3 linked regions of the Diceros bicornis minor genome follow. The protein of the gene in region 3 purifies or fractionates together with the protein of the main gene of each other region. This does not show direct contact. Links are inferred from orthologs where the notes say so. Each region holds a gene or a part of one and is shown on either strand. Other genes may lie near its edges.

Region 1 (7,874 bases), on a different chromosome or scaffold from region 3:
GATGTGCAGAAATTGGAACCCTCATATATAGCTGGTGGGAAAGTAAAATGGTAGAGTCACTTCGGAAAATAGTCTGGTAGCGCCTCAAAAAGTTAAACATAGAGTTACCATATGACCCTGCAAATCCACTCCTAGGCATAAACACACGAGAATTGAAAACATGTCCACAAAAAAACTTGCACATGAATGAATGTTCGTAGCAGCATTATCCAGAGTGGCCACAAGGCGAAAACAACTCAAATGTCATTCAACTCAGGAATGTATAAACAAATATGGTATATCCATAAAATGGAATATTATTCTACCAGAAAAAGGAATGAAGTACTGATGCATGCTGCAACATGGATGAACCTTGAAAACATTATGCTGGGCCAGTCCCGTGGCTTAGCGGTTAAATGTGCGCGCTCTGCTGCTGGCGGCCCGGGTTTGGATCCCGGGCACGCACCGATGCACCACTTCTCCGGCCATGCTGAGGCCGCGCCCCACATACAGCAACTAGAAGGATGTGCAGCTATGATATACAACTATCTACTGGGGCTTTGGGGGAAAATAAATAAATAAATAAAATCTTAAAAAAAAAAAAGAAAACATTATGCTAAGTGAAAGAAGTCAGACACAAAGGTCACATATTATATGATTCCATTTATATGAAATATATGAAATGTCCAGAATAAGCAAATCCATTGAGAGAGAAAGTAGATTAGTAATTGCCAGGGGCTGGGGAAAGGGGGAGATGGAGAATGACTGCTAATGGGTCTTGGGTTATGAAAATGTTCTGGAATTAGACAGTGGTGATGGTTGCACAACATTGTGATTATACTAAAAACCTCCGAATTGTATATTTTCTTTTCTTTCTTTCTTTTTTTTTTGCTGAGGAAGATTCGCCCTGAGCTAACATCTGTTACCAATCTTCCTCTTTTTGTATGTGAGCCGCTGCCATGGCATGGTCACTGACAAGTGGTGTAGGTCCACGCGCGGGAACCGAACCCAGGCTGCCGAAGCAGAGCACACTGAACTTAAGTTCGAACTTAAGGGCCACCACGGCTGGCCCTGAATTGTATATTTTAAATAGGTCAATGTTATATTATGTGAATTATATCTCAATTTTAAAAAAATCTGGCAAAGAGCTGGGCCTCAATAAATGGCAGTTATTATTACAAAAAAGATGATAAAGGAGAGAAATAGAAACTGAACAAATAGGACACATAGAAAGTATAAAATGTTAGATAAAATCCTGAATATATCAGTAAATTCATTAAATGCAATGGACTAAATGCTCTAATAAAAAGTCAAAGGTATTCACACAAGATTTACAAAAATCTAATTGTATGCTATTTATAAACATCACCTTCCCTTATCAAGTTATACAAAAAGAGGAAGGAAATCAATATTTACTGAGTGCTTACCATGTGCCAAACATGTGCCCAGTCCTTTGCAAATTCCATTATCTTCTTTGACCTTCACAACTACTTTACAAAATAGGAATTATTATTTTGTGTGTGTGTGTGAGGAAGATCAGCCCTGAGCTAACATCTGATGCCAATCCTCCTCTTTTTTTTTTGCTGAGGAAGATTGGCTTTGGGCTAACATCTGTGCCCATCTTCCTCTGGGATGCCGCCACAGCATGGCTTAACAAGCGGCACATCAGTGCACACCCGGGATCCGAACCTGCGAACCCTGGGCCACCAAAGCAGAGCGTGTACACCTAACTGCTGTGCCACCGGGCCAGCCCCCAAAATAGGAATTATTGTGCCCATTTTATAGACAAGGAAACTGGGGCACAGAACAACTAAATATAATTTGTGCAAGGTCTAAAAGGTAAGCAGAATGAGGACTTGAACTCAGCTCTCTTTGACTCCAACTCTGCTGCTCTTTCCAATGCACCATATAAGAAATCTAGCACCATCAATCTGGAAGGAAGTCTCTTGACCTTCTATGATTCTGCAGTCCTTACAGGTCTCTCTCCTCCCTGAGCACTAATCCTTCATAACTGCATAGAGTGAGTTCTCAGGGCATATGGTGAGAGACTGAGGGCTCCCAGGACAGAGATGGACTTTACTTAGCTCTGTCTCTCTTGGCCAGGGCAGAGCACTGAGCTGTGGACATCTCTGGGCTCCTGATGCCCAGGACAGAGTTTGGCTCAGCAAGTGTTTGTGAACACGCACCAAACTCCTTGTCTTTAGAGGGGAAGAAGGAAGATGATGATAACCAAAAGGAGTATTATGAGAATCAGGCAGATTAAGAGTATGTGGGCCCAGGAAGCCCTGGCCCGCACAGAAGTCCTTCCTGGGGCAGAAGTCCCTGGGAATGATGAGCTTGTGGGCCACATGCTTACCAGAGTACCTAACAAGAGGTCCTTCTACTTAGAAATCACCATGGTCACAGGAAATTCCTCGCTGGAGCACTCCTTGTCTAATGTCTCCCCCTCCAGTCTTCTAACAAGTATGCACTATTTAAGCATCCCAGCTCCTGCACACCCACTAGTACTTTGGACTGAATGTACTCACTTCCTCACTCAAGACATGTTTCTGAGCCCCTTTTCTGTGTCAGAATCCATGTCTCACAATATTTAGCAAGGGAATTCCTTGACATTTTTAAAGAATACAAATCATATCTATTATTTATTGAGGGCTTACTGGGTACCACGTACCATGCTAAGTGCTTGATCTCATTTAAGTCTCACAACAACTCTGTGATGCAAGTATAGTTGTTATCCCCATTTTACAGACAAGGAAACTAAGGTTCCGAAGTAGTAAGCAATTTTCCCAAGTTCATACAGCTAATACATGTTTGGGCTCAGATTTAAACCCAAGGTTCTCTGACTCAAAAGTCCCACACATCTATTATTATTCTACTTAAGAAATTAATTCACTCATTCATGTGTCAAACATTTAACGTGCACCTATACTGTGTGCCTGGCCTTAGAAGCACCAGAATAAATAGACGAGAGGTTTAAACATAATTGGGTTTGAGGATTGGAAGGTGAGAAATCAAAAGTTCAGGAGGGCAGTGAGGAAGCTACTGTAACTCTCCAGAGAGACTAATGACTTTCTGATGCAGAGCACAAACAAAGGAGGGTGGAGGGAAAAGAGAGATGTTTAGTTGGAGGAGTTGGGGGAAGGTGTCTGGAGTCATATATTTAAACTAGCTTTACTACTTGACTATTCATGTATTTATTTCTTTCTTCCTTCAAGCATCTACTGAGCATCTACAATGTACCAGGTTTCTCCTATCCATTATCTTATTTATTTATTTATTTTTTGTGAGGAAGATCAGCCCTGAGCTAACATCCATGCTAATCCTCTTTTTTGCTGAGGAAGACCGGCTCTGAGCTAACATCTATTGCCAATCTTTCTCCTTTTCTCCCCCCTAAAGCCCCAGTAGATAGTTGTATGTCATAGTTGCACATCCTTCTAGTTGCTGTATGTGGGACACGGCCTCAGCATGGCGGGAGAAGCGGTGCGTTGGTGCGCCCCCGGGATCCCAACCCGGGCCGCCAGTAGCGGAGCGCCTGCACTTAACTGCTAAGCCACAGCCCGGCCCCATTATCTTATTTTATCTTTAAGACCATTCCACTTTTTGACAAACTATCTCTAATCCATTGCCACCCCGGAAAACTTGGAAGGATTTAAGTTCACCTACGTTTTGGGCAGAGCCCATTTCAATTTTGTATTGATGTCCCAGGAGGAGGTGGTAGCGGTGGAGCGGTAATCCGAATAGGCTTTGCTTTCTGAGCACACTCCCTGCTATTCTGTGTGGGACCCTCAGTCACTAGGTCTAGTTTCCAGAACACGCTCGACCTTCTCCCCTTGTAATATTCCGCTTCTGCTCTGAGCTAGGCCCCAGAGGAAAGGAACACCAAGATGTAGAAAATGCAGCTCTGACCTTCAAGATCCCGGGCACAGAAGACAGGAAAGTAAATAATAGGATACAAAGTAACAAGGCTGTAACAGAGGCCTGCCCAAGCATTAGCCCAACAAGCTGGGAGAGATCGGCAAATGCATCCCAGCCAGGAAGGGAACATTTGAACCAGGCCTTTAAGAATAAGCAGGAGTTCCTAAAGTGCAGGTAGGAAAGAAAATCCAAGAATCCTCATTTGTACCAAGCCCTATGCTGAGCCATTCCCTAGGGCATCGCTAAGGCTCTTAACGTCTATTCCAGGCATTCAGAGAGGGAAAGGTTGTGCTGGGGCTGCTATGGGTCAGGAGACAAGGAGGCCAGGGGTTAAAGCCTCGGAGCAGCTGCAGACAAACTACTCGGACAGACGGACCTCCCAGGAGGGCCCTCCAGCTTCGCAGGCGGTGTGGCCAGGAAGTGCTGGCGGGAGGATGGGGAAGCCTTCCCATCACCGCCTGCGGACTGGGGCCAGGAAAGAGTAGAATAGTTACCAGGCCATCCTGGAGCCTTTCCTCTGATTGGCCCCAGCTTCAGCAGCCCGTGTCTCTCAGGTCCAGGGAAGGGGGCGGAGCCTCGGCATAGCGTCACCATTCTTCTCCCACACCCAGGCCGGTGCACCCCAACGTAGCCACTCACTAACCCACTTCGAAGGGCCCTGTGTGACGCCACGACTCCCTCCCAGCCAACCGCGGCGGCGAGGGGCGGGACTCCATGCCTCCCACCGCCCCTCCCCTTTCCTCCCCTAACTCCTGGGGTCCCTCCTCTTCCTCCTCTCCCCTTCTCCCGAAGACCGGCCCCACGTTCGCTTTCAAAAGACTCGTTGCCCAATGAGTGACAGGGCGGGCCTAGAGTGGCGGCGGCGTCTGCCAATGCGCAGACAGCGGGGGCGGAGCGCCCGGAGCGAGCCTCTGACGGCGGGCGGCGTGTGACGCAGTCGGGCCCTCTGCGCGCTGCGCCCGAAGCGGCGGTCGCTGTCGGTGGCGGCGGAGGCGGCGACTGCGACGGTTTCGTGGCGGCCGCGCGCTGCTGTCTGAGCGGCGGGTGGCGGACGGGCCTAGGCCCTCACTCCTGAGCTTCCCATCCCGCGCCGCACCGCGGTAAGTCGGGAGCCCGGGCGGTGGCGGCCGGGGACCGGCAGGCTCCTCCTCCCCTCAGGGCGGGCGGGTGCGCGGGGCGTCCCAGGCCCTCTCCGCGCGGAAGTCTCGCGCCCGGCGCGCACCTTCTGCCCTGAGGGAGGGGGCGGGCCCTGCGACTCGGCGGCCCCGAGGCCCGGCTCTTCGGTCGCTGGGAGGGAATGGGTTATCTGTGGGGTCTGGGCCCGGGAGTCTCCTGGTGCAGCCTGCGCTGAGGGAGCGTCCCTCTCTGTGGTTGTACTCATTCATTTGTCCGGCAGTGATTAGGTGGGCCGGCCCTGTGAGGGGCAGCGCCTGACGACCCTGAATACGGGCCCCCCGGCACTTCTTGACGGTCGTGCGGGATGGCCTTTATTGGCGTTGGTCTCTCCACAGGGGAAATTTGCAGCCCGAGGGTTAGGGTAAGTGGGCCGGGAGTTTGTTAGCTTTTTAAAACAGTATCTGAGAATTAAGGTCGGTTTAGTGGAGTAAAAGGTTATCTGCTGTTCTGCCACGTGTTCCATGTAAAGCTAGATGGGGTTTCTGGATTACTATAGCCATGAGGACTTTAGGAGTGAAGCCGATCCGCCTACCCTACATCACGTGCAAGTTTTATAGATGGAGAAACCGAGGCCTAGAGAAGGGACAAGATTAGCCAATGCCAGATCTGACTCAGTCTAGACGGTTTTCTACTACACCACTCTCCCTAAGTGTTCCAGCCTTCCCTTACTGAGGATTCCCTTTGGGGAGTTGGGTGGGGCAGCGGGGGCATTTGGTAGTTAGAAGCAGACGTAGCTTCTTCAGTAGCGTTTGAGATTTAGTTGCTACCAGCTCTATTCATGGTAAGACGGAAGCTTCATTAGTGGTACTCTAACCTAGAGCATGAGGTTAGGTTTAGGTACTTTTAGGTTTAATGTTGGTTAAAGAATTATCGGTGATGTTATATATTAGAAACGAGTCGATAAGACTACATGTCATGGGCTAGTTTGCTGTTCCAAATCTGAAATTTTTATTTGTGTCAGCTGCTGGGGACTCAGAAGAGACAGTCCAGTTCCTGACGCACAACAGTACTGAAGTAGAAAGCGGGAAGTATAGACAAGACACATAAAGGTAGGCAGCAGTTTTGTAGTTATTGTACCTTGGAACTCATGGCTCCTCTCTGGTACAGAATTCTAAGTATTGTAGTAGAATAAGGTGAGAAAATTAAACTCCATTTTGGAAGAAGAAACTAACTGGAAGAAAGAAAGAGCAGTGATCATTCCCTGTGACAGTTACATAAATTCAGAGAGAAACTTTTGTTAGCTGAGTAACAGAGGGTATGTTTACTTAGTGGCAGAAGTTAGGATATTTAAAAAATAAAACTGGAATTTGGACAGGATGGAGGTACTGGGGAATACTTTGATAGAATTATTTTTTGACTCTTCATTAAGGTTTGGTGAAATTGAATTAGTTGCCACTTTGGTGCGTTCACATCAGTCAGATCGTTGCTTTGGTCTGTTTAGATGAAAAGCAAAAACTGAAAAACAGTAGTGTATAAGAACAGAAGAGAACTGGAGTCTAAATACTAAGAGGTGAACAGGGTATATTTACTGTGACATTTTCTCAGTTCAAGCATCACCCTCTTCTGGGAAGCCTTTCCTGGCATTCTCTCCCCTGCAAGCTTCCATAACACTTATTTGATACATCTATTTATAGTACAAATCATTTTGTATTTTAGCTGTTTGTCTTTTTATTAGACTGTGGTAAAATATTTTTGTCTTATCTTTGTATTCAGGTTACTTGGCACATGGTAGGCTCTCAGTAAGTGTGTTTGCGTGAACGAATAAACAAATATGGAGAAGTTAAACCTAAAAATAGTCAATAAAGAATCTGGGTATTTGTGTGCTCTTGAATATGGGGCCCAGATAGAGGACCCATACCGTTTGTATATTATGTGGTACTTTGGTACATGACTTTTTTCAAGCTGTGAATTTGGTTTCCTAAAAGTTCTGCTTGCTCTTAGATATCTAGATGCTAGTGGACATGAATAAAGTCAGTTATGTTATTTTATTGTGATATTACTTTTATGCTGGCAATAAACGTAGGAAGTAAGGAGTAGTAGTTCTGATATTTAATTTCCAATAAAGAGCACATTCGTAATTATGCAATTTGTTGGGCCGGCCCTGTGGCTTCGCAGTTAAGTGCACGTGCTCCACTACTGGCGGCCGGGGTTTGGATCCTGGGCGCACACCGACGCACCGCTTCTCCGGCCATGCTGAGGCCGCGTCCCACATACAGCAACTAGAAGGATGTGCAACTATGACGTACAACTATCTACTGGGGCTTTGGGGAAAAAAAAAAGGAGGAGGATTGGCAATAGATGTTAGCTCAGAGCCGGTCTTCCTCAGCAAAAAGAGGAGGATTGGCTTGGATGTTAGCTCAGGGCTGATCTTCCTCACAAAAAATAAATAAATAAATAAATTATGCAATTTGTTGAAAGGTTAGAGGACTAAGAAATTTAGAGATTTAACAGTAGGTATTAGAGGCAAGGTGTATAAACAGTGTTTCTTGAGAATTTGGTGTATTCTTTGCGTTTGGAATTGAACCTGAGTATTTGGTACAGTATGTCTCTAGAGTAGGGTCTCTCAGCCTCAGCACTAGTGACATTTTGGGCCAGATAATTCTTTATTGTAGGGGAGTTGTCTTCTGTATTGTAGGATGTATAGCAGTATTCCTGGCCTCTCCCTGGATTTAGATACCGTAGCCACCCCTCCGCCCCCCAAGTTGTAACAATCAAGAATGTCTCCAGACATTATCAGATGTCCCCTGGGAGGCAAAATTCCCCGTGATTGAGACCACTGCTGTAGAGGAAACACTCCCACTATT
Region 2 (6,874 bases), on a different chromosome or scaffold from region 3:
ATCTTCGTCACACACACACACACAAAAGAATATCAAAGGAATCGAATGAACAGACAAATGAAGAGATACACAGAGTGGGGTCTTGAATGCAGGAGCTTCTGTCCCTGTGGAGTTTAGGGCCTGGCACACCGATGCATCCTAGTTCACCAACCTGGAAGCTCTCTGAACTTCCCCCCTCTGGGCTTTTATGGAGGCTTCATTGCATAGGTATGATTGATTAAATCATTGGCCATTGGTGACTTAATTCAATCTCCAGCCCCTCTTCCCTCCCTTAAAGTTCCAGCCCTCTAATCACGTGGTTGGTTCCCCTGGCAACCAGCCACCTCCTTAGGTTACCTAGGGACTTTCCAAAAGTTACCTCATTAACGTAACAAAAGACATCTTTAGCTCTCTCATGTTTAGGGAATTCCAAGGGTTTTAGGAGCTCTGCGCCAGGAACAGGGATAAAGACCAAATATAATATTCTCATTATAAATCACAATATCACCGAGGTGATTAGGTGATAAAGGCGGAGCCCTCATGAATAGTATTAGTGTCCTAATAAGAGACCCCAGAGAGCTCCCTTGCCCTTTCCACAATTTGAGGACACAGCAAGAAGGTGGCTGGCTATAACCCAGGAAGCAGGCCCTCACTGAATCTGCTGGTGCCTTGATCTTGGACTTCCTAGCCTCCAAAACCGTGAGAAGGAAATGTTAGTTGTTGAAGCCACTCAGCCTTTAGTATTTTGTTACAGCATTCCAAGAAGAAACACAACAATATAAGCGATGAATAGGAACTGTTATCTCACAGTGTATTTGTAAAACGAAGAGGCAGGCAGAGCAAGAACAGATTAAGATCAATAGGGAGTTGTTTCAATGATCTGAGAAGGAAATGTGGAAGACTGTAGGAGGAAAATGAAACAGGCAAACAGCCATTGATGATTAAACAGCTAGTAACTATGGGGGATTGGAATTTGCCAACTCAAAATATGTCTCTGCCCGAATGACATTTGACCCCCACCCCCACTAACTGAGCAAAGGAGTTTGGGATGGGAGGCCTGCCCACAGAAAAGGCCATTACTATAGACATCTCTGGGTACCTGGGTGGGTCGTGATAAACCCATCCTTAGTTCTAGTAACCCTTTATGAGAGACATTTACATTGGTAAAGAAAGTCTCCATTTGTAAAGGTATCTTCTTCCCTGCACCAGGAAGAAGGGGGGATGGCCTTACCTAGAAACTTATCAGAATGGAAGGAGAGGACTTAAATCTGCATGATAAACTTATTCATTGTTAACTGTGCTGTTTGGGCAATATGCTATCTGACTCCCACTAGGTTCCTATAGATGACATCTCCCTGGAGCCTGGATTACCATGGTAATGGGTGTTTGAGCTATTTTTTTTCAGGAACTGAGCCCTTTGTCCACTTCAGGCCAGACTGAGACCACCAACCCATCAACTGGGCCCTTTTGATGGCAAGAGGTTGGAACTCCACCCTCAGGGCATGTTAATGCCGCCATTCTGTGACCATGTGTCCTACGAAGAAACATGAAGCCTGACTACACTTGCGCAGATCATCAATGACCTCATCTCTCCTCACCTCCAATCATTTCAGACCACATTGCCCCCTACCCCATAAATACCCCTGAGCCCCTATTTTTGGGGAAGCGGATTTGAGACTTGTTCTCCCGTTTTTCTCACTTGGCTGCCTTGTGATTAAATCCTCTCTCTCTGCAATCTCGTTGTCTCGGTGATTGGCTTTCTGGGTGGCTGGCAAAAATGGACCTGGTGCAGTAACAAAAAGTTCCTGATATCTATTGCTGCCTAACAAACTACCCAAAAACTTAGTGACTTAAAATACCGACCATAGGGGGCTGGTCCCATGGCCGAGTGGTTAAAGCTGCCTGTGCTCTGCTTCCAAGGCCTGGGTTCACGCGTTCAGATCTCGGGCGCGGACCTACACACCACTCATCAAGCCAAGCTGTAGCAGGCATCCCACATATAAAGTAGAGGAAGATGGGCACAGATGTTAGCCCAGGGCCAATCTTCCTCAGCAAAAAGAGGAGGATGGGCAACACATGTCAGCTCAGGGCTAATCCTCCTCACACACAAAAAAAAGATGCTGGGAAGGAGGGAGGGGTGGTGGTAGAGGAAATTCTCTTTGGATTGCATTAATTTTCTAACTGAAGAAGCAGGCTGAGTGAAGATGAGGAAGTGTCACCGGCTCTGGGCCTCCAGAAACTCAAAGGTGGGTTTGGAAGCAATTAACTGTTTTTCCAAGTTGTTTCTTTTCCTTTTGTGTGTTAAGGAGACGTAACCAGCAGCCATCCTGAAACTGACCAAGCCTTATTTTTAATGCAAAGATCTCTCCAGGAGGAGCTTAGGCCTCATTATGTGGAAGCATGTTCTCCAACTGAGCCTGTGCAAGCGAATACCCAGCTCCCCCTTTTGAATATTCATTCCCCAACCAAATAAAAGTTCCTGTCTTCCTTGGTTCGGAGAAGCCATGACTTTGGAAATGATTCCTTATGGCCTCCTACTTGCTGCAAATCACGCTTTACTTTGGGAGACAACTTCCACTGGTGCAGTCTTATTTAACTCACCAGGAGGCGAGCCCACTTGGTTCCGTCTCAGAGGGAGGTGTTGGATGAGTTGCGAAATACTCATCTAGGAAGGTATACAGACAAGGCAAACACAATGCTACAATGTCTGCTGGGCAGCAGTATGAGCCCCCCCAAGGTTTAGAATCATGATGGAGGCAGAGGGAGTGTGTCAGTGTAGCTGTATATGTCTCTCCAGGCCTGTTCAGCTGCCAATTTGGAGTTAATCAAAGTCGTGTTTTTTTACTGGAGAATGCAGATAGACAGCTAGGCAAGAGACTAAATTTAAATGGAATATAAGCAGAGCAAGAAGGAAACATCAAGGAAGTGAGGGACAGTGAAAAGGTGGTAGAAACAATGGATTGGAATGGAGGGATTCCCTTGCTAGAGGTGGTGTCCTAGAAAGAGTGAGGTGGAAAGATATGGGAGAGTGGTCAGAATAGGTTGAATGAAACACAGAATGATAAGGAAGGATTTCGGTCATTGGTAATGAATAAGAAGTAATAACAGACGTGCTTAACAAACGTTGACCATCAAGGGGGAAAAAAAAACCTTTCCCCCTGAAAATTAGCATTTTCCTCAATATTGAGCTTTACTCTGCTCTAGACATGGGTAAAGCTGCAGTATCTTCCAAACATCCAGATCACAGGTGGAACAAAGGCAAATTCCTTTCAGGTATGCAAAGGAACAGCATTTAGGGAATCTCAACAGGTTGCGGCATCCATGTTTAATTGCACACATCACGTTTTATTATACGAGCATATAGAATTCATTATACAAGAATTCCAACACGGAAGGCCCCTCTCCTCTTCATTCCCCCCCATCCCACGTGTCGCTGAAGGGTGAAGAAAAGGAGAGATTCGCAGGCCGACACCACGACGCAGGGAGAGGTGACCGCAAGCTCGGAATCCGGCAGGGGGCGCCCATGTGCCCGGCCTCGCCGGCCCTCGCCCCTCCCGGGAGGCTCAGCCCCCCGCCCGCGCGGCGTTTTCAAACTGGAAACAAGCCCGGCCCCGCCCCCTGCCTGAGGCGGCCGGGAAGAGGGCACCGCCCCCCGGAGGCGTCCCACCCGGCCACGCGAAGGTCCCCGGAGGGAGGGCCGGCTCCCCGCCCCTTTCTCAGCTGGCTTCCTCGCTGCCCACCCTCATACCCCCGCCAACTCCATTGAAGCCTCCAAACGACGGGTCGACCCCGCCCCTCTGCTCCCCCGGCCTCGCCACCTGTGCGCGTCTCCCCGCCCCGCCCCCGGAAGTGACGACAGCCGCCCGGCCTGCCAGTGTCCCGTCGGGCCTCGCGGCGGCGGCGGGAAGATGGCGGCGGCGGGAGCCATAGAACGGAGCTTCGTGGAGCTCAGCGGAGCTGAGCGCGAAAGGCCGAGGCACTTTCGAGAATTCACAGTCTGCGGCGTTGGTACGGAAGCAGCCAAGGAGGGCGCGATCCTGTCCTTTCCCTCGGGTTCCCCTCATGGGTCCCCAAATCTCTGACCCCCTAGTTCATCTTCCTGAATCCACATGCCTGTAGCTCCGGGTGCAGAGCTCCCTTAGTGTCTTCCTTGTTTTCTTCCCTTTCTTTTTGTAGGAATTGTCAATCTGTTACCCTCTGCTTTCTCAGCGCCATCAGTCCCTGTCATCCCCCGAGAACCACGTGTGTGGCTGACCACTCTCCTTTTGCAGGGACTGCAAATGCCTTGGCCGGAGCAGTCAAATACAGTGAGAGTGCGGGAGGCTTCTACTATGTGGAAAGTGGCAAGTTGTTCTCCGTCACCAGAAACAGGTTCATCCATTGGTAAGTACTGTGTTCGCCAAACCCCTAGGGTGGTTCGGCGTTTGAATTTCCGTGGCTGTTCCCCAAGTGTCATTCTCCGAAACGGTAATCGATAGGAAAAGAGAAAAACTGTTTTCTATTCATATCTGAATCAGGAGAAAATTAAGGAGACACACAATTCTAGGAGAGATACCCTCCCAGGCAGCAGTAGAAGCAGAGGAAATGTAGCTTAGAGGATAAAGCCTCAAAGACCAGTTTTGTACATGGACCCATTATGTTTTTATAGTGCGTTATGGCTTTCTTCACTCTACAAATATGTTTGAGCTTTTATACATCAGGCATTGCTAGGTGTACTAGGGATGAAGTGATGAACAAAAACAACCACCATTTTCATCGTGCAAGATGTTGTAGCAGTGTAATGATAGATGTGGACCCACCCTTTATGGGGCAGTATTTTTTTTTGTTATAATTTTACTTATTTATTTTATTTTTCCCCCCAAAGCCCCAGTAGATAGTTGTATGTCATAGCTGCACATCCCTCTAGTTGCTGTATGTGGGACATGGCCTCAGCATGGCCGGAGAAGGGGTGCGTCGGTGCGCGCCCGGAATCCGAACCTGGGCCGCCAGCAGCGGAGTGCACGCGCTTAACCGCTAAGCCTTGGGGCCAGCCCTGTGGGGCAGTTTTAAAAAGAAAAAGACTGATGATCACAATATAGGTACACAAATACAAACTTTTCATGCTTACTTCAAAGGAAAAGTATAGGGACTATGAGAGGCTAATAGGAGGACTAAATTTTATTGGTAGGGCTGGGAAAGCCTTTAAGAAAGTCACATTTAACCTGAGATCTGAAGGATGGAAGGGTAGCCAGGCAGGCGGTTGGGAGAGAGAGCAGTTCAGCAAGTGGGATCACCATATGCAAAGTCGGTGAGGTAGAAAGAGCTTGGCAGGTTTGAGGAATTGACTGAAGGTCTGTGTGGCTTGAGTGCAGTGGGTGAAAGGGAAAGTGATGTGAAAGATGCTGAGACTGGGGAGGTAGGCAGGACTCAGATCATGAAGGACCCTCAGGTCCTTTTTAAGGATTTTGGATTTTATCCTAAGTACATTGAGCACTCATTGAAGGGTTTTAAAGGGTTACTAACATGATCAACGTTGTATTTTTTAAAAAATCAGTCTGCTTTGTGGAAAGTGGATTTGGGTTGAATGGGTATAATACAAAAGAACAGTTTGCTTTTATGATGGCCCAAGTAAGAGACGCTGGTGACCCAATTGTAAGAGTGGTTAGGAAAAGAAAAATAGATGAATTTAAGATGCGTTTAGAAAGTAGATTCACTAGGACTTGGTGATAGATTGAATATGGGGTGGGGGATGGTAAGGGAAAAGGAGGGAGCAAGGGCAACTCCCTGGTGTCTCATGTGGCCAGTCAGATATTGGGTGGAGCAGTTGCCATTTACTGAGATGCAGAAGACGAGTTTAGAGAGATGTGAATAATGCTTTTAGATGTACTACATTTGAAGTATCTATGTAGCAGCCCTTTGGCAATGTCAAGTAGGTGTTGAAATTTGCAGGACTGAAGCTCAGAAGAAAGGCCTGTGTTAGAGATACAGATCTCATTTATTTAAGAAATATTTTTGAGTGCCTAATGAATTCTAGTTAATGTTTAGGGACTGGTATAGGGGAGGGACAAAGCTGACAAAGTCCCTGCTTTCATGGAGGGAGACGCACTAAACAATAACCAAAGAAACCATGTAAATATAGTTTGTCAGATGATAAGTGGAATAGAGAACGGGGAAGCAAGATAAGAGGGGAGGGGAACACCTATGGGTGTTAATATTTTATATAGGTTAGTCGGGCAATACCCAGGGATAAGTTGACATTTGAGCAGAGGAAGTAAAGATATTTGGGGGACAAGAATTTCAGGTAGAAACTTTCAAGAAAAAGGAACCAACAGTGCAAAGAACTCTGAGACAGCAACTTGTTTGTTGTGTTCAAAGAATGGCAAGGGGCCAGGAGTCTGCAGCTGAGTGAAGAAAGGATAGGATAATAAGAAAGGTAACCCAGGGCCAGATCAAGGCTTTGTCAGTTATTTTAGGCTTTGACTTTTACTCTGAGTGAGATAGGAAGGTTTTAATTGGAGAAATGACATGATCTAAGTTGTGGGGTATTTTTGTTTTGTTTTTTGTTTTTTTGCTGAGGAAGATTTGCTCTGAGCTAAGATCTGTTGCCGAAGATTAGCCCTGATCTAACACCTGTGCCAGTCTTCCTCTATTTTTTATGTGGGACGCCGCCACAGCAGGGCTGGTGAGTGGAGTAGGTCCATGCCCAGGATCCAAACCCGGCCACCGAAGTGGAGCGTGTGGAACTTTAACAACTCAGCTACAAGGCTGGGCCCTCTAAGTTATGTTTTTAACGGATTGGTGTGGCTGTGGGTTGAGAACAGAGTGTAGTGGGAAAAGAGTGGGAGCAGGGAGACTGATTAGGAGGTTGGTGCCACAGTCCAGGCAAGAGAAGATGGCAGCTTAGACCAGCATGGTG
Region 3 (7,702 bases):
CAGTTCTACCCCATCTGCAGGAAATAATTCTGGCTACTTTCCTGTTGTCAGTTGCAGTGATTAGTCCCACATAAATCAAAGTCTGGTCTTAATTGAAAGGGCTGTATTTTAGGAAGCTTGTACAGAAGGAGGCATCTACGAGCTGAGTATCTCACACATGTACACATGTCTATACTTGTGAGGTATTTTTCTTTTTATTTTAATAAAACAAAAATGGGCTTATATGGGACATACTATTTGTTAACCAACCTGCTTTTTTTATTTGATAGAGTATTTTCCTATACCTTTAAGTATTCATTAGACACATCCACATGTATTCTTTTTAATCATATAACATTCTATAATGTTAATATACTATAAATCTATCATTGGACATATATCTTGCTTTCCATATTCTTTGCTATTATAAACAATACTACCTATATATCTTTATGATTTCTTTGATTTTTTTCAGATAACTTCTGAAAGTGAAATTGCCAAGTTAAAGAGCATATACAAATTATAAAACTTTTTAACAGACTGTCCTCTTAAAAGACTGTACTAATTTGTAATCCCACCAGAAGTGTATACAATAATGCCTATTTCCCCACAGCCTTTTCAACGTGAGCTATTTTCATTTTTTAAAACATTCCTGCTAATTCAACAGGCAAACAATGCTGACGGGTGGTTTAATTTGAATTTCTTTAATTGCTAGTGAAGTTGAAGATCTTTTCATGTATTTTTGGTCATTTCTAGTCTTTGATTTAGTGCTAGTTCATGCCCTTCATACATTTCCATTTTTTCTACTGGGGTAGCTTGCTTTCTCTTACTGATTTTCTTTGAAGAGTACTATTTCATTAGAAATATTTTTTTCTTCAGCTTGTTTGCCTTTCTGCTGTGGTTGTGTTTTCTGACATCCACAAATGTAGTCATATCTATATTATCTAATTCTCACAACAAGTGGGTACTAGTAGTAATTTAACAGAGGCTCAAAAAGGTGATTTGAAGCAAGTCCCATTTAATTCCAGAATCTATACACTCAATTAATATGCCAGTGGTTATGGCAATGTCCCCAGACAGCAGCGTCAGCAACACCTGGGAAATGCAAATGTTAGAAATGCAAATTCTCAAGCCTCAGCCCAGACCAACCAAGTCAGACACTCTGAGGATGGGGCTCCGCAATCTGGCTTACCCCAACCCCTCCAGGTGTTGCTGATGCATGCTTAAGTTTGAGAGCCCCTGCACTACACTATCCTGTCTTCTAGATTTCTAGTGTAAGTATCTACACTTACACTAAAATAAGGTAAAAAGATAAATAAGGACATGGCAGGCACTAGGAAAAGGTAGCACTCTGGGGAGTGGTAAAGAAGCACTCATGCTGCCCCAAGGTGTATGTCCTGAATATCTTCTGTTCCACTCACCAACTTCTCCACTGTATACTCCAGGAGGCCGCCCTCCATGGACTGTGCTAGTGTCCTCCTCCCTCACACTCTGGCCTCCAGAGGTGGCTGGAGGCCAAGAGAAGAGTGAGGTCATGATACTTACATCCCCAGTCTCCTTCCTCCTGGGATGCCATGGGTTGGCTGCATCTCCCAACCCAAGGCCATGGCTCTGGCAGGTGGCCTTTTTTCTCAGGTTCTGGTGACACCTTCCTTGGCTCATTTGTTGTTAGGAGCCTCAGGGCTCTACACTACCCCTAATATTCCTGTATTAAACTCTCTTTACTCAGCTTGAGGGTGCTGTTTCCTCTAGGATCTTGTTTTATAGAGCCTACAAGGCCCTTCGTGGCCCCTCTTTCCCCAATTTCCTCTACTGTTAGTCATTTGAGGTTGGTTTGCTTGTTTAAAGTCCCTGGAATGCACCAAGATCTTGGCTGCTTCAGGACCTTTGCCTGAGGATCCTCTGCTTAAAATACTCTTCCTCCTATTCTTTGCCTGGATGACTGCTGCTCGTGCTTCATGTTTCAGTTTAAATGTCCTTTTCTCCCAGAGGCCTTCGTAGATTTTCCTCCAAAATTAAGCACCCCCAGTTAGTCTCTATCATATACCCTGCTCTTTTCTTTCACACTGCACATCTCAATTTGTGGTTATATACTTATTTGTGTTCATTTGTTCAGTATCTGTCTTTCTCATTGGTCTGTGATCTCCATGAGGGTAGGGCCCATGTCTACTTCAAGAGGGAAGATGGCCAACTCATGTCCAAAAGAACAATCTCAAGGGGGCAGAAGAGCTTATAGCAGTTATATAGGCTGGTGGGTTACAGTGGGGGGTGGGGGTGGGGTAGGAATGTTGAGCCTCTGGTGTTACAGACTGGGAGTCGCCACACCAGATCTTTCAGTTTTCATTGATGATGGCTATCAGCATAGACTCCCTGTTCGGGGGTCATCACATTCCTAAGGAACTCAAAAGAACAAAGTTATCATCTTATCGCAGCTGGGAGGTACATGCATAATCAGGGGTCATAAAATCTACAGAGCAGTTAGATCTCCTGGAGGGTGCAGATCCAGCTGGGTTAGTTAGTCAGAGGTCATTCAAAGTTACAATAGGGTTTCTTTTCTACAATATGGCTTCCCTCATGTCAACCTTGTCTTGAGCTGGTATCAGCAGGTACTCGATAAATCCATAATGAATGAATGACTCATAGTGCTATCTACTCACCATTCTTCAATAGTCATTCCAGCTCCTGCAAACAGCAGCTTTTATAACTGCATGGTGGGCAAACCACTAGCCAGTCCAACAAAGCCCAAGAACAAATCTATCCCACCAATACCCTCTCAGCCATGACTACGCTCCATTTCTCATCTTACCCCTCCCCCTCCTCCACCAAGTAAGAATGAAACAAGGAGGAAATGCGCTACGTTGTAAGAGCTATAAGACTCAAAGACAAGCTGCAAAGTTGGCTTATAAACCTGGGTGGGAGAAGGAGAAAAGCAGCTTGTCTGTAGAACCGTGGTGAGATGACTGCCCTGATGCTATTCATGTGCACAAATGGCTTCCCCGGGGAAATGTCAACAACTGACACCCACATTGTGGTCTCCCACATATGGATATGCCAGTGTTTACTTAGCCATCCCCTTATTTCAAAAAACATTTAATGGAAGGCTAATGTACCTGTTATGGTGTGCACAAAGGTAACAGCCACTGTGCCTGCTGTTAAGACATTTAAAAGGAGCTATGTGAGAAACGGTTATGAAACAACTATTATGCAGAGTAAAAATATTATAAATAGCTCACACACCGGAGCACAGGGGACAAAGGATAAGGGATACATAATTTTGTGGAAGGCTTCACTTAGAAGGCAGCACTGAAGTAAGACTTGATGCATGAGGTAGAAGCTTGTTAGGCAACAGGGGAGAGAGGGTGTTCCAGGAGAAAGAAACACGTGGAAAGGCATTGGAGGAGGTTACGAGTTTTTTTATTCTTGGAATGTGGAGTGCAAGTGGGAAGTGGTGGAAGTAGAGTAAGGACAGAAAAGCCAGTCAGAGTTAAGTCGCAAAGGACCTTGCAAAGGAGCTTAGTAAATTACCTATGGACAATGGTCAGCCACGAGAGCATTTAGGAGCCCAAGAGCAGCTTTGGGTTTGCCTTAGTTCATTCTGTTGGCAGTGTGGAGGACTGCGTAAAGTGACTAGACAGAGGCAAGGAGACCCAAAAAAGAGACTAAACACTAAAAAAGAGGGAAAAGTTGAGTACCTGAACCAGGGCAGAGGCAGTGCCAATGTGAGCTCTACTGGAGGTTCCCCAGGAGCTACAACGTCCCAGGGTGCTGCAGTGGAGGTAAGTGTGAGCAATGACTAGGATAGAACTCTTCTTTTTGCCTTGGGCAATTGGCCAGTTTTACCAAATGGGACAGAGGTGGTAGTAGGATAGGAATCCTAAAGGGAAACATGAATTCAGCTTGTGTGTGCGTGTGTGTGAGGAAGATTAGCCTTGAGTAACACCTCCGCCAATCTTCCTCTATTTTGTATGTGGGATGTCTCCACAGCATGGCTGATGAGTGGCATAAGTCCGTCACCAGGATCCAAACCCGCGAACCTGGCCGCCAAGGCTGAGCGCATGGAATTTTAACCGCTCCGCGACGGGGTCGCTCCGAATTCAGCTTTTAACAGGTGCATTGCGAGGAGTCTGCAGGACACCCGGGTGAAGGTGTCCACGAGGAACTGTTAGGAGCCTGCGGGTTTGGAGCGACATCTGGGTTAGAGATGTGGACTTGCGGTCACTAGCGTGGATGAGACCGCAGAGTTGAACGGAAAAAATGACAAATCTAGAGAACAAATATAACATTGACTGTGAAACCAGTGTCAGCTTCACAGTTTTTCTCCCTTCTTAGATTGGACCAAGGAACGAACACTTTTCATTTCCCAGACGCTCAGGAGAGACCAGCGCGCAGAGACGCTTCGCGTTTAAGCTGTCAGAGGGCCAGCCCCACCCACTGGCGTCGGGAAGGGCGCCTAGCCCTCCAGTTCTACTTCCACGGAGCTCCGGACTCCGCTGCTCCGGGCCGGAAGCCCGGACACCTGCCTCACACTCTCCGGGGACGACCCCTTCGACCACGCCACGACCCCTTCGACCAGGCCCCGCGTCTCGGCGCTGAGCTTTTACGCCATCATCGTGCGCCCTCCCACCCTAACCCCGCCCCGCCCCGACCACGCCCCGCGGCTCGACGCTGCGCTTTGACGTCTTCACCGCGCGCCCTCCCGCCCCTGGGTGTTCAAGCTGGGCGCGCGGGCAGCGCTTCGGCCCAGCGGCTGGAATCCGCGCGCTCCCTATCGCCTCTCCTTCCATCATGTTCCCGGCCGTCTCCTCTCCGCGGACCCCGGGGCCCGGGGCCCGAAGAGGCCCGCTGGGCGGAGTCGGGCCGGGCTCCACGCCCCGGGCTACAGGCAGGAAGGGTCTGGCCTTGGGATCTGCAGTCAGCTCCCCGGTGCTCTTCTCGCCGGTCGGCCGGCGGAGCTCGCTGAGCTCTCGGTAAGTGATCGTCCCCGGTTGGGTCTGGCGACTGACAGGCTCACGGGCCTCGGTGGGCCTGATGGGGTAGTGTCTCCGGAAGCCTCCGGGACCTGGGGCGGCGGGGGGGAATGCCCAAGTATTGGAAAATAGACCTTCGCCACGCTTGCGAGTCATTTTAGCCTCACTTTGACTAATTCATCAGTTGAGTCTTCGCTTTGCACTTTTCATGGAATTACCTTTATGTAGAGGTGAAGAACTGGATTTGAATCAGTAGTTACCTGCCTCCTTCTTACTACCCCTGTGATCTGGTGTAAGTCACTCATGATGCTCTTCATCTGTGAAATGGCGAAAGTATCTGACCTGAGCCTGCTTGACTAAGGCCAAAAGAGTCAATATGAAATGCCACTACGCAGATGTAAAGTGATGGTGAGAATAAGGTGATGGTGGGAATGAGGACCTCCGGCCCTGAAAATCGTTGTCTATATGTCTGACATACTAACTGCCATTCATATCTGCTGATTGGTAATTCTATAGGGCTTTTAGCTACGGAAGTTAACTTTGTAGCTAAATTAATAGGGAAAAGGCTTTCCATAAACAGTGAGGTAAGAATAGTTTTGTTACCAAACAAAAGCGTGGCTCACCAGCCCACATCACCTGTAGAATCATGCTCCACACCCTCCCTTTCATAATTAATCTAGAACTGTAGAAGGTAATCGTTTCAGAGTAGTTTCCTCTGAATTCATCTATCAAAAATGAATTTCCTCCCGCGGAAAAATGGTGATATTGGATCTTGAATTTACAGTTAAAATTTATAAAATTTTGGAATTGTTTAAAGGAGAAATGATTTTTAAAGAATACACTGTATCCTTGACTTTTGCATTTTGAAAAGTGCTCTTCAAAGTGTTGATTTTGTCGATATCTTTTGCTCTTTTGAGAAAAGACAGAATAAAGGTCATACTTTATTTAATGTGTTTTTTTAAGTCTCTTTTTACCTTCTGGTGATCATTTATTCTTATAATAGGACATAAAGCTCTCCACCACTCTATGTGCATCTCATCATTTAATCTTCATGATAAGAGAGAGAATAACTTTTATACTGGTAACTTTACATTGCTTGTCTGAATGTTAAGATGAAGGGAAGAAGGAAATAAAATTTCTACTGCTTTATCTGCTATTAAAGACCAGGTAACAGCAGATGTTCATGACTCTGTTTAATTTCTGGCTTAATTGCACAGATCTGGTAGATTCTTATAATTGTAGAGCTGATGAGAGCTTAAAAATAACCTAACCCGGGGCCAGCCTGTGGCTTAGTGGTTAAGTGCGCGCGCTCCGCTACTGGCGACCCGGGTTCGGATCCCAGGCACGCACCTACGCACCGCTTCTCCGGCCATTCTGAGGCCGCGTCCCACATACAGCAACTAGAAGGATGTGCAACTATGACATACAACTATCCACTGGGGCTTTGGGGAAAAAAAGGAGGAGGATTGGCAATAGATGTTAGCTCAGAGCCGGTCTTCCTCAGCAAAAAGAGGAGGATTAGCATGGATGTTAGCTCAGGGCTGATCTTCCTCATAAAAAAAATAAATAAATAAAAACATAACCTAACCCAATGTTTGTAAAACATTTTTGACCACAGTGTATGATGAACTTTATTTTATATTGTATTTTGTTTTTCAAAAATGTTGATCGAGACCCTTAAAATGACCTGCAGTTTGAAAAACACTGATCTAGTCCAACCTTCGTATTTCAAAGCTAAGGAAGCAGGATTATAAAGAGTTTAAGTTAACAGCATGCATCTCTAAACTACAGCATAAGAGTCGGAGGCCAAGTTTTCCTAAATCCTGTTAGTCTTTTTTTTAATGAAAAGTACAGTTAATTACACAGTATACAGGAGCCAGAGTTTTTTTCACTGTTACAACTCATCTTTCTTCTTATCAAAGATAGTCTCTTTATTGTGAAAATATATGTATAAAAATTAGAATAATGGAAAATTTTAACTTATGGGTGAAGTAATACGGTCTCTTTTCTTTAGAGGAACACCTACACGAATATTCCCACACCACTCTGTAACCGAGTGTGTAAACTATGATGTAAAAACGTTTGGATCTTCACTTCCTGTTAAAATCATGGAAGCCCTAACATTGGCTGAAGGTGGGTGTCATATTTCATTTGCTTCTATTAGCAATTCAAAATAAAGCCTAGGTCTAGCATGGAGATTGAATTTTGTGCTTTCTCTGGCATATCTTCACCTAAATGGGGAGAAAGGTAACCTATTTGGTTTTTCACTGTAATTGAGAAATTTAATAAATTTGAGAAGCAGAAGGAGTTCATTCTAGCACAAATTAAATCTTTAGTGGTTGTTAAGTACTGCTTATGCAAAACTCAGTCCAATTTAAAAAGTTAATTGAGTATATGAAATTTAGCTTTTAAAAAAACCCAAAAAACTAGTGCCTCACGTTATTGGGTTTAATAATGCAGTAAAATCAAGTCTTAGCTCCATTTCTGGATCCTGTGTAGTATCCCAGAGACTGTATGCACAAATTCATGATGTTATCAATGTGGTGTACCTTTAGAAGATTCTGTTGGCAGAGAATTAGAGTGGAAATTTGGAAGATGTAGTCAACACAAGCTTCAGAAAAGCGACATTAAGGATGAGGAGTTGGGTGACTGTGACAGCAAAGTTCAGAGCATCCTCGTGATCTGCCTAAATCATTTTTATTAAGGATTCAATTCTAGATCTTTGTGATTTTCTGGAACTGTGTTTTTAAATTACA

What was found.
Region 1: the proteins of NUP133 (region 3) and NUP98 purify together in Homo sapiens (affinity purification with mass spectrometry; 6 studies listed by BioGRID and IntAct, with this or other methods). This does not show direct contact. The link is inferred for Diceros bicornis minor from reciprocal best matches to the Homo sapiens genes NUP133 and NUP98.
Region 2: the proteins of NUP133 (region 3) and NUP160 purify together in Homo sapiens (co-immunoprecipitation; 4 studies listed by BioGRID and IntAct, with this or other methods). This does not show direct contact. The link is inferred for Diceros bicornis minor from reciprocal best matches to the Homo sapiens genes NUP133 and NUP160.

The regions. Positions count from the first base shown.
Region 1 is NC_080746.1:58,890,380-58,898,253, reverse strand, and holds the start of NUP98 (nuclear pore complex protein Nup98-Nup96), read left to right. Parts: upstream 1-4,872; 5' UTR 4,873-4,994; intron 4,995-5,185; exon of another isoform or gene 5,186-5,431; intron 5,432-6,031; exon of another isoform or gene 6,032-6,119; intron 6,120-7,874. UniProt on the Homo sapiens protein: Plays a role in the nuclear pore complex (NPC) assembly and/or maintenance. NUP98 and NUP96 are involved in the bidirectional transport across the NPC. May anchor NUP153 and TPR to the NPC.
Region 2 is NC_080770.1:22,680,454-22,687,327, forward strand, and holds the start of NUP160 (nuclear pore complex protein Nup160), read left to right. Parts: upstream 1-3,872; 5' UTR 3,873-3,887; coding exon 3,888-3,987; intron 3,988-4,250; coding exon 4,251-4,362; intron 4,363-6,874. UniProt on the Homo sapiens protein: Functions as a component of the nuclear pore complex (NPC). Involved in poly(A)+ RNA transport.
Region 3 is NC_080745.1:26,426,619-26,434,320, reverse strand, and holds the start of NUP133 (nuclear pore complex protein Nup133), read left to right. Parts: upstream 1-4,689; 5' UTR 4,690-4,764; coding exon 4,765-4,946; intron 4,947-6,960; coding exon 6,961-7,079; intron 7,080-7,702. UniProt on the Homo sapiens protein: Involved in poly(A)+ RNA transport. Involved in nephrogenesis.